2 linked regions of the Mus musculus genome follow. The protein of the gene in region 1 binds, or shares a complex with, the protein of each later gene. Links are inferred from orthologs where the notes say so. Each region holds a gene or a part of one and is shown on either strand. Other genes may lie near its edges.

Region 1 (5,602 bases):
CCCCATCCTCACATTGCATGATTCTAAGCATGTGGGGACATGCTCTAAGTTCCTCTTAAAACGTTCTCACTATCTGCCAAGCCTGTTTTAGGATCCCTATGAAATCAACGATATCAGTGACTGTCCCCATTTTGAAGATGAGGAAGCTGAGTCCCAAAGAGGTTAAGAAGTTAGTCCAACTAAAGTGGATCCTAAACACAGTATCTGAATGGCACCACACCACTAATTCTGAAGCCAACCTTCTTGGATTTTAATTCTAATTAGCTGTGGGACTTGGACAAAATGTAAAAACTTCAGTTTCCTCATCTGTATAGTGGAGATTATATTAGTTCAGACCTCACCAGAGAGTACACTGCTTCTGCCTAATATAGGATAATATTTAGTGGGGGTCGTATAGTGCGGGATTTGTGTACCACCAAGAGAATCTAGTCAGGTTCACCTGCCGCTGCAGCCACCACCACCACCACTCCCCTACCCGCCTACTCCCCATCTCTGTCCCCCGACCCCCATCAGATCACTTCTGCCTCCTGGCTGTTTTGGGATCTTCGGAGCCTGAGTTCCATTTCCTGACAAACTGGGGAAAGGAAGTTGGGGGTTGACAATAAAACCCTTTACCTTTCTCACTTGGAGATTGCCAGAACTACCCGGGGGTCGCACAATCAATAAGGGACGCAGGAAAGTTCCCCAGAGACGCTGCGGATCCAGCTGCCCTACCACCAGCCGCAGCTTGGCTTCTGAAAGGCTTCCGATCAGCGGGACCTTGGTTGGGAAATGGGATGGGAAAAAGAAAAATGAAAACAACCCCATTCCCACCTTATCCTGGGCGCCGTTGCCTACTAGGAGTCCTGGCTCTTCCTGGTAATGCAAATCTCCAGCATCAAAGATTTCCTAGACTGGGAGAAATCTTCAAAGCAAATCTGGTCCAGCCTACCGCAGTCCTAACGAGGAAATTGCAATCGGGTGATGGAAATTTCTAAATAGATGGCTTGGGCATAGAACTCAGTTCTACCAGTGTTGCTATGAGGACTCGTCATCTTCAGTGGGGTCTATCACAAAACAAGCCTGAAGCCTTATTTTGTTGGGTAGGGGCACGCGCTCAAGTCATGGATAAATGGCACAGGCGGCAAAAGCCAAATGATAAGACCACGGTAACCTGAGACTCAATACGAAGGGAAAGAGGGAAATGACGCTGGCTGGGCACCAGCCAGGGCTCACCCGCAGATCCCGGCTCCGTGACATCTCCTCAACCCCAGGGTGCCAGCTGTTCCAGACGATATAGAAAGCCAAGCCCATAGCCAGCGCCAGCAGCAGCAGGGGCAGGAACTGCACTCGCGGCAGAAGACGGCGCTTGGAAAGTGAGGGTGGTTTCATGAGGCCACGATCCTCGAGCCGCTGCCGGGGCCGCCCGCGGCTCCCGGGACTCATGGTAGCTTTGCTCTGAAACCAATCCCGGTATGGTGGTTTGAGTTTTAGGCCAAGATCCGCCTCGCTGAGGTTACAAAACCCAATAAAGAAGCAGAGTAACTGCGTCCTTCCCTGAGACGATTGCGATTGGCTGTCCTAAGCGCCGCCCCACCCAAAAAGGAGGGCGGAAACCTTAAGGCCCGCCTCCACGGAAGAGGACCAGTCAATGGGCTGCGTCCGAATGTGCGAAACCTTCCAAGGCGCGGGGTCACGCCCCTCACGGAAGTCGATCAAGAAACTGTCGTTCAAGGAAAAAAGGGGCGGCATCCATCCCTAAAACAAGGAGCCGATTGGTTTACCTGAAGCCATGCCCTCAAGAAAAGTGTCCGAGGGTATTTGGAAATGGGGTTGTGTTTTCCATCTTCCAACTGGACGGTTTGACGGGAAAATAATTCTAGTCAGACCCCGTATTATTTTCCTCATGAGCAGACACCCTATTGTGATCCTCAGAAGCTTCAAATCCTCCTTATAGGCATTTTCTACAGGAGAGTGCAGCCTGAAGGGTCGCTATGGTAACAGGCCACGCCCACAGCCGCTGGTATTTGGTTGCGCAGGCGCCGACGGAAGTGAGCCGCAGGAGACGGAAGTCCCGCCCTTCTCGCCCTGTACGCCAAAGGCTGGAGCAACGCGCTTGGAGGCGGGAGTGATCTGCGAGCGAAACCTACACCATGTGAGGCCGGGCTGGGCTTTGGCGGGGCCGTGGAGATGGAGGTGGACAGTTTAGCTGAATAACGGTCGAAATGGGGTGTTTTTATAGCTGAGGGTAGAGTTCCTCGGGCAAAAGTAATGTTTTTCCTTCTGGGGTATTTGAGATCGGGCTTGGGGCCTCGCTCGGATCTTGAGTTCCGGAGAGGGGACAGCTTTATTCCATAACGGGCATGAGACTCTCCGAGGTCCTGAGTCTTGTGGAAAGGAACCATAAAGGGAAAGCTGAGTCTGATGGCACATGCCTGGAATCCCAGGCCTCGAGAGGCTGATGCAGGAGGTTCGCTAGTTGGCCTTGGCCAGCTTCATAGCGAGACCGCTTCCAAAAGTAATAGTAATTTTAAATGGAAGTGGTCTTATGAATAAAGAGCTTGGCGGGGAAGGAAGAACTGTTAGAAATAGTGAAAAGTATGGGACGTAACCAGGATAAATTAGAGAACCTAACTAGAGACTGTCAGAGTAGCAGGGTACTACAGTGGTTTGGTGCGTGTTTATTCATTGAGCATATACTATGTAGACTGCTTGTAAGTTAAGACACATGGTAAATAAAAGGTCCTTGCCTCCAAGGGGGTGGGGGAATCTCCCTGGTGCTTGTAAAAAGAGTGGAGTAGGAAAGCCATAGAGTAATAAATAGGTACATACACCTTAGATAATCAGGTTTGGATGGAGAATTGAGCAGGAAAGATATAATGCCAGTAGGTAGCACAGTAGGATGCATTGAAAGCCCAGTTCTTGGGATGCAGATTTAGCTCAGTGGACAGAGTACTTACCTACTGTGGGTACTGGGTTTGGTCCTTAACCACACACAAACTAGACATAGTGGCACGTGCCTGTACTCCCAATACTCAGGAGGCAGAGACAAGTCTGAGTTCTGGGGCAGCCAGGCTTCTACAGTGAGATGTTGTGGGGTGGGGCGGAGGTTCATGGAGAGAGATGATTGAAGTTTAGGTTGCGGATAGAAAGGGCCAAGGTTTGGATGTACCATGGTGGCAGATGACAAGATATAAGGATAGAGTAAGGTTTGAAAGAAGAATCAACTGCCAGGCATGATGGTGAGCCTCTGTCATCTCAGACCTTAGGCAGTGGAGTCAGGAGAATTGAGAATTCAAGGTCAGCGGTGGGTGGAAGAGGTTAGGTAGATGAGCCGGGGCAGGCTACCATGGAAATGTCTCTCCTGCCTCCAGAAAAGACTGCACCAGAAAGGGGGCTGGGGAGACACTGGACAGTGTGGCTTTGATCACGTACATTTCCAACTTGAACCCATCTCACCCCTGGGTTCTCTATCCAGGAGTCTCCTCAATAAACCCAAGAGTGAGATGACCCCAGAGGAGCTGCAGAAGCGGGAGGAGGAGGAATTCAACACAGGTCCCCTCTCAGTGCTCACGCAGTCGGTCAAGAACAACACGCAAGTGCTCATTAACTGTCGCAACAACAAGAAGCTGCTGGGCCGGGTGAAGGCCTTTGACAGGTGAGTGCTGTCTTGGGGAGGGCTGGGTCTGGGTCCGAGGGGCCTGAAGGAAAGGTCATTCCAGAAGGATAATAAGGTGGGCACACACGGTGACAAAGCACCTTTAATCTCAGCACTCGGGGAATCACTATGAGTTGGAGGCCAGCCAGTGTCTCATGGCACGACCTAGCTCAAAAATGTAGAAAGTGGCGATGCTTAACCTTTTTATAATACATATCTTACGTGTTTAGGTGTTTTGTCTGCATATGAGTCTGTATGCTATGGACATGTCTAGTAGTTATCAGAATCCCCTGGCAGGAAATTGGACTGGAATTTCGATATTTGATTTGTTTATCTGTAGACCAGACATCAGTGTCAAATATCTTGTATTGCTTTGTAGTTTGTTTTGAGACAGGGTCTTTACTATGTAGCTCGAACTGGCTACAGATGTGGCAGAGGCTAACCTTACACTTCTAATCCTCCTGCTCCCATCTCCCGAGCGCTGGGATTACAGGATTGCATGAAGCATGCCGTCCTGCTTTATTGTTTTAGTTAGCATGGGACTTGCCTTGTGACTTAGCCATACACATCTGGCACTGTACTTTGCTCTTATTCACTGTCCTCAAGCAAGCATTTGTGGAAAGAACTGATCCAAGTGTGAACAATGGCCACCCGGCCCCATGAGGACAGGACTGTGCAGCACTGGAGTGCGCGTGTTGGGAGCCGTGTCTAACCCCAGCACCCTAAGACCCTCTGGAGGGAGCAAGTGCTTCTCTCCTGCTGTTTCTCTCAGAGTTAGAGTTAACGCCAGAGCCAGGGCCATTTTGGTGGGCTTTACTCTGCTGGGTCCTGAGTTCTTTATTCATCCAATCTTCACACCAGCCCTATGAAATAGACTGTCTCCATTTCATGAAGGGGGAAACTGAGGCACAGAAGGGACACTATAAAGTGAAATCACTTTGCAGCCTGCCCATCCCCACTGTGGAGCCTGGGCTTTCCTTATGCCTGCTGCTGGAGAGTTCACACAGTGCCAGGCAAAGGTGGGCACTCGGAATGCCCCCCCTTACTCCAGCTTCCCCCCCCACCCCTACCCCATCAGGCACTGCAACATGGTGCTGGAAAATGTGAAGGAGATGTGGACTGAGGTTCCCAAGAGCGGCAAGGGCAAGAAGAAATCCAAGCCTGTCAACAAGGACCGCTACATCTCCAAGATGTTCCTGCGCGGGGACTCGGTCATCGTGGTGCTGCGGAACCCACTCATCGCTGGCAAGTAGAGCCTGCTCCCTGCCCTGCGAAGGCCTGCAGAACCCTGCCCAGTGGGCGAGAAATAAAACCCTGTGCTTTTTGGTTTTTATGTTTTCCAGTGGTCTTCTCTGCTCTTGGGTCTTAAAAGAGTGTGTTGGGCTGAGCACTAGGACAGGGCCTGTGGGTGCTGCGGTATATAACAGCCCTGTCTGCAAAGGAGACAGTTTAATTGGACTTTTGTGTATTGTGGACAGAGGGATTCTCTGACAATGTGCAAGTGGGAAAGGGAAGCCTATTTAAGAGGCTCGTGGAGGACCCAGGGCCTTCTGCTCTACCCACAACTCTGTCTATCTGGTATCTCTGTCTGTGTCCTCCCAGGCGATCATGGGCTGGAGGTCAGGAGTCTCTGCCCTCTTTACATGTATATAAAACATGTATGGGTGTTTTGCCTGGATGTGTCTGTTCTTGGTACCCATAGGAGCCAGAAAAGGAGAGTTGGATGCCCCTAGAGGTAGTTACATGTGGTGGTGAGGCAGCCATGTGGGTGCTGGGAAAAAAACCTGGGTCTTCTACAAGAGCAACAAGTGCTCTTAACTGTTAAGCCATCTCTCTGGCCCTTTAGCTGTCCTCTTTCTTTTTTCTTTTCAAGACAGAATTTCTCTCTATAGTCCTGGCAGTCTTGGAACTCACTTTGTAGACCAGGCTGTCCTCAAACTCAGATTCCCCCTGCTTCTGCCTCAT
Region 2 (3,801 bases), on another chromosome or scaffold:
TGGTTCCTACCACAGAGCCAGAACCTTCACCAGCTTGTCCTTTTTGACTGGAAGAAACTGCTGGGTGAACTTTTTCCCTGTAAGGCACAGAATGTTGAAACTTGTTGAAGCAGGAGTGTGCTTAGAAAGAAGGAAGGCAGGGCTCCGGATACAGCTCAGTGGTAGAGTGCTTGCCTGTTACATGCAAGGCTCTGAGTTCAAAAACAGGCTTAACTGAGTGTGGTGGCACAGGCTTTTGATCTCAGCACTCAGGATGTAGAGGCAGACAGATCTGAGTTCAAAGCTATCCAGTTCATAATGAGACCCTGTCTCAGAAACAACCAAAAACACTAAGACAATAAGCACCTCCCATCCCCCAAAGACTACCTATTGTATCTTCCATAGTCTGCCATCACTGGACTCAGTTTTGTTTAGGTTTTTTGTTTGTTTGTTTTTTAATTACATTCTTGGTGTGTATGTGTGGATACCACGGTGCACAAGTGTCAGTCAGAAGACAGCTTGTAGAGGTTACCATATCAGTTCTAGGGCTCAAACTCAGGTCATCAAGCTTGGTGGCAGATATCTTTAATCATGAGCCATGCTGCTGGCCTCTGTCATGTCTTTAATGCATATGTGGTAGCACTGTCCCCTATCCTCTACTCACTGTAACCTCAGCAGTCCAGTTGTCCTCTTCACACTTTGCTGAGGAATCTTAGTCACTTCCTTGATTTTCATGCACTTCTCCGAGTTGGTACTGCCTACACTCACATCAGGCCTTTTCTCCTTCACGCATTGCCATTGCTGAAGGACATCACTAAATGTTCTACCTCAGACTCTAGGTAACAGCACTGAACTTGTCTTCCCTTAAAGCTTGTCCTGAGGGGCCACGAGCGATGACTCTGTAGTTAAGAGCACATATGTTTCTTGTAGAAGTCCAGAGTTTAGTTCTCAGCAACCACACCAGTAGGCTCAGTCCAGCTCCAGAGGACCCAGCATCCTCTTCTGGCCTCTGTGGAAGCTGCATTCATATGCACAAACCCCCACAGATACAAACACATTATTAAAATAGAATTTTGTAAACACTTGAAAGCCTGTTCTGAATCCCTCTCTGCCTCCTATTTCCAGAGGTGCCATTGTCCTGATATCCAGGCCAAAGATCTTAGAAACTGGTTTTTTGTTCCTCGGCCAAGACCTTTTGACCCCAGCCCTTTGTGAGCTCTTACTAACCATGCCTTCCCCTCCCATTGATGTCAAGACCGTAGCCGAAATGATAGCCATCCGATGGCTGTTTCCTTCTCCTAGCTTCTCGCTAATCTGATGACTTCATTACCTCTTGGCTTCTCTGTGCAGGACCCTTGAATATCTGTGAGGAGATGACTATTCTGCATGGGGGCTTCTTGATGGCTGAGCAGCTGTTCCACCCCAAAGCCCTGGTACAGTTGACCAAGTCTGATTGGGAACACGTGGGACAGCCCATTGTGGAGGCCTTGAAGGAGATCTCCTCAGCCACAGCACATTCCCAGCCCTTTGCCTGGAAGAAGAAAGCACTGATCATCATCTGGACCAAGGTTCTTCAGCCCTCCCCTGTCAGCCCTTCTGACACTGATACTCGGTGGCAGGAAGATGTATTCTTCTCCGTGGGCAACATGATCCCTACCATCAACCACACAGTCCTTTTTGAGCTGCTCAAGTCTCTGGAAGCTTCTGGACTCTTCATTCAGCTGCTAATGGCCTTGCCTACCACCATTGGCCGCTCAGAACTACAGAGCTTCCTGGAGCACATGACTGTTGACACATCTTCCAAGGATGTGGCCTTCTTCTTAGATGTCTGGTGGGAAATGATGAAGCACAAGGGCGACCAGCAGGACCCCTTGCTTTCCCAGTTCAGGACGATGGCCCATAAATACTTGCCATCCTCAGATGAGTTTTCCCATCCTCCAAAGAGGTTTAAGTCTGACCCAGATGTGGGTCCCACCATGCCTCTTTTGGCCATGTTGCTTAACGGGCTGAAGCAGATCCAAAAGAGAATCCTGTCCCTTGGAATGAAGTGCTGTGCCTTAGCTAACTTGGCTGACATGCTGAGTGTGTTTGCACTTCTGGAGGATGACACCCAGGAGGTGTCGGCCACCGTGTACCTAGACAAACTAGCTACAGTGATCTCTGTGTGGAACTCGGACACCCAGAACCCATACCATCGACAGGCCCTGGCAGACAAGGTAAAGGAGGCAGAGCGAGATGTGAGTCTCACCTCACTGGCCAAACTCCCCAGCGAGACTGTTTTCATGGGGTTTGAGCTTATGTACAACCTGCTGCAAGAGTGGGGTGCAGAACTGCAGGACATGCTCAACAGCAGTCAGGGAACAAATTATGACACTTACCGGCTGTGTGACAGCCTGACTTCCTTCAGCCAGAACTTGGAGCTCTACCTGGATACTACCAACATGCCCAAGGAGGAGAGGGAGGTGGTCTCAGAATTGGCTGAGTGTGTCAGGGACTTCCTGAGGAAAACCAGCAGAATGCTGAATGACAAGGGCCTTGAGGACATCACTGCCTCCATTGCCATGGCCATCATTGAGCAGAAGATGGACCGGCACATGGAAATGTGCTACATTTTTGCTTCTGAGAAGAAGTGGGCCTTTTCAGACGAGTGGGTTGCCTGCCTGGTTAACAACAGGTCTCTCTTCAGAGAACCAGACTTGGTCTTGAGTCTGCTAGAAACAGTGATGGAAGTCATCAGCTCTGATCGGGTTATCCCCCAGCCTCAGATCAAGCAGGTAATCTGCTTGACCCTGGAATGCTATGAAGACCTCTCTCTTCCAGACAAAAATAAAGTTCTTTCTGGTGTCCTGCATTATTTGGGGCCAAAGGGTCTCTCAGACAGGTTGTCTGATTACTTGGAGGGTTTTCAGGAAGACCTCAACACGACGTTTAACCAGCTCGCACAGAGTACCTCTGAACAGGGCCTGGCTAAAGCTGTGGCCTCCGTGGCCCACCTGGTGATCCTGAACCCAGAAGTTGTGGTGAAGAAGATGTGTAGCCTAGCTGTGACCAATCTTGGCACACATAGGTTCTTGGCTCAGATTCTCACTGCCTTCCCTGCTCTGAAGTTCACGGAAGAACAAGGGGCAAATCCATGTACCAGTTTCATGGTGTCTTGCCTCAAAGAAACTGTCTGGACCAAGTTCTCCACACCCAAAGAAGAGAAGCAGTTTCTGGAGCTGGTAAGCTGCCTGACGAATCCTGTGAAGCCACAGGGGATTCCAGTGGCTGCTCTTCTGGAGCCAGATGAGGTGCTCAAGGAGTTTGTCCTGCCTTTCTTGATGTTGGACATGGAGGAGGTGGGCCTGAGTCTGAAGCTCTTCATCCAGACCCTCGAAGCCAATGCAGGCCTGGAAGAGTATTGGCTGCAGACCTGCTCCCCATTCCCTCTGCTCTTCAGCCTGTGCCAGCTCCTGGACAGCTTCAGCAAGTTCTGGCAGCTCCCCCGGGAGAAGCGCTACCTCACGCTGGACAGCAAGGATCTTGTGACCCACATTCTGGAACTCCTCTGTGAGATCGTGCTAGCCAACACAGAAACCTTCTCCCCAGACACCTGGGCCAAGTCCCTGTCCTGGCTCCACCGCAAATTAGACCAGCTAGATTGGACTGTGGGCCTGAGACTAAAGAACTTCTTTGAAGGCCACTTCAAGTGTGAGGTGCCAGCTACCCTTTTTGATATCTGTAAGCTCTCTGAGGCCCAGTGGACCTCACAGGTCCACGAAGGGTATGGGCCTGGCACGGGCCTTCTCGCCTGGATGGAGTGCTGTTCAGTCTCCAGCAGTA

Evidence for each region. Proteins that work in one complex are often made in the same cells at the same time.
Region 2: Snrpd2 (region 1) and Gemin4 share a complex: the UniProt entries of both Homo sapiens proteins name them as parts of the SMN-Sm complex. The link is inferred for Mus musculus from reciprocal best matches to the Homo sapiens genes SNRPD2 and GEMIN4.

The regions. Positions count from the first base shown.
Region 1 is NC_000073.6:19,147,761-19,153,362, forward strand, and holds Snrpd2 (small nuclear ribonucleoprotein Sm D2), read left to right. Parts: upstream 1-2,077; 5' UTR 2,078-2,132; coding exon 2,133-2,134; intron 2,135-3,457; coding exon 3,458-3,637; intron 3,638-4,715; coding exon 4,716-4,890; 3' UTR 4,891-4,966; downstream 4,967-5,602. Other genes in the region: Qpctl (glutaminyl-peptide cyclotransferase-like protein), read right to left, coding at 616-759, 1,216-1,425. UniProt on the Homo sapiens protein: Plays a role in pre-mRNA splicing as a core component of the spliceosomal U1, U2, U4 and U5 small nuclear ribonucleoproteins (snRNPs), the building blocks of the spliceosome.
Region 2 is NC_000077.6:76,211,452-76,215,252, reverse strand, and holds part of Gemin4 (gem-associated protein 4), read left to right. Parts: intron 1-542; exon of another isoform or gene 543-997; intron 998-1,309; exon of another isoform or gene 1,310-1,329; coding exon 1,330-3,801. UniProt on the Homo sapiens protein: The SMN complex catalyzes the assembly of small nuclear ribonucleoproteins (snRNPs), the building blocks of the spliceosome, and thereby plays an important role in the splicing of cellular pre-mRNAs.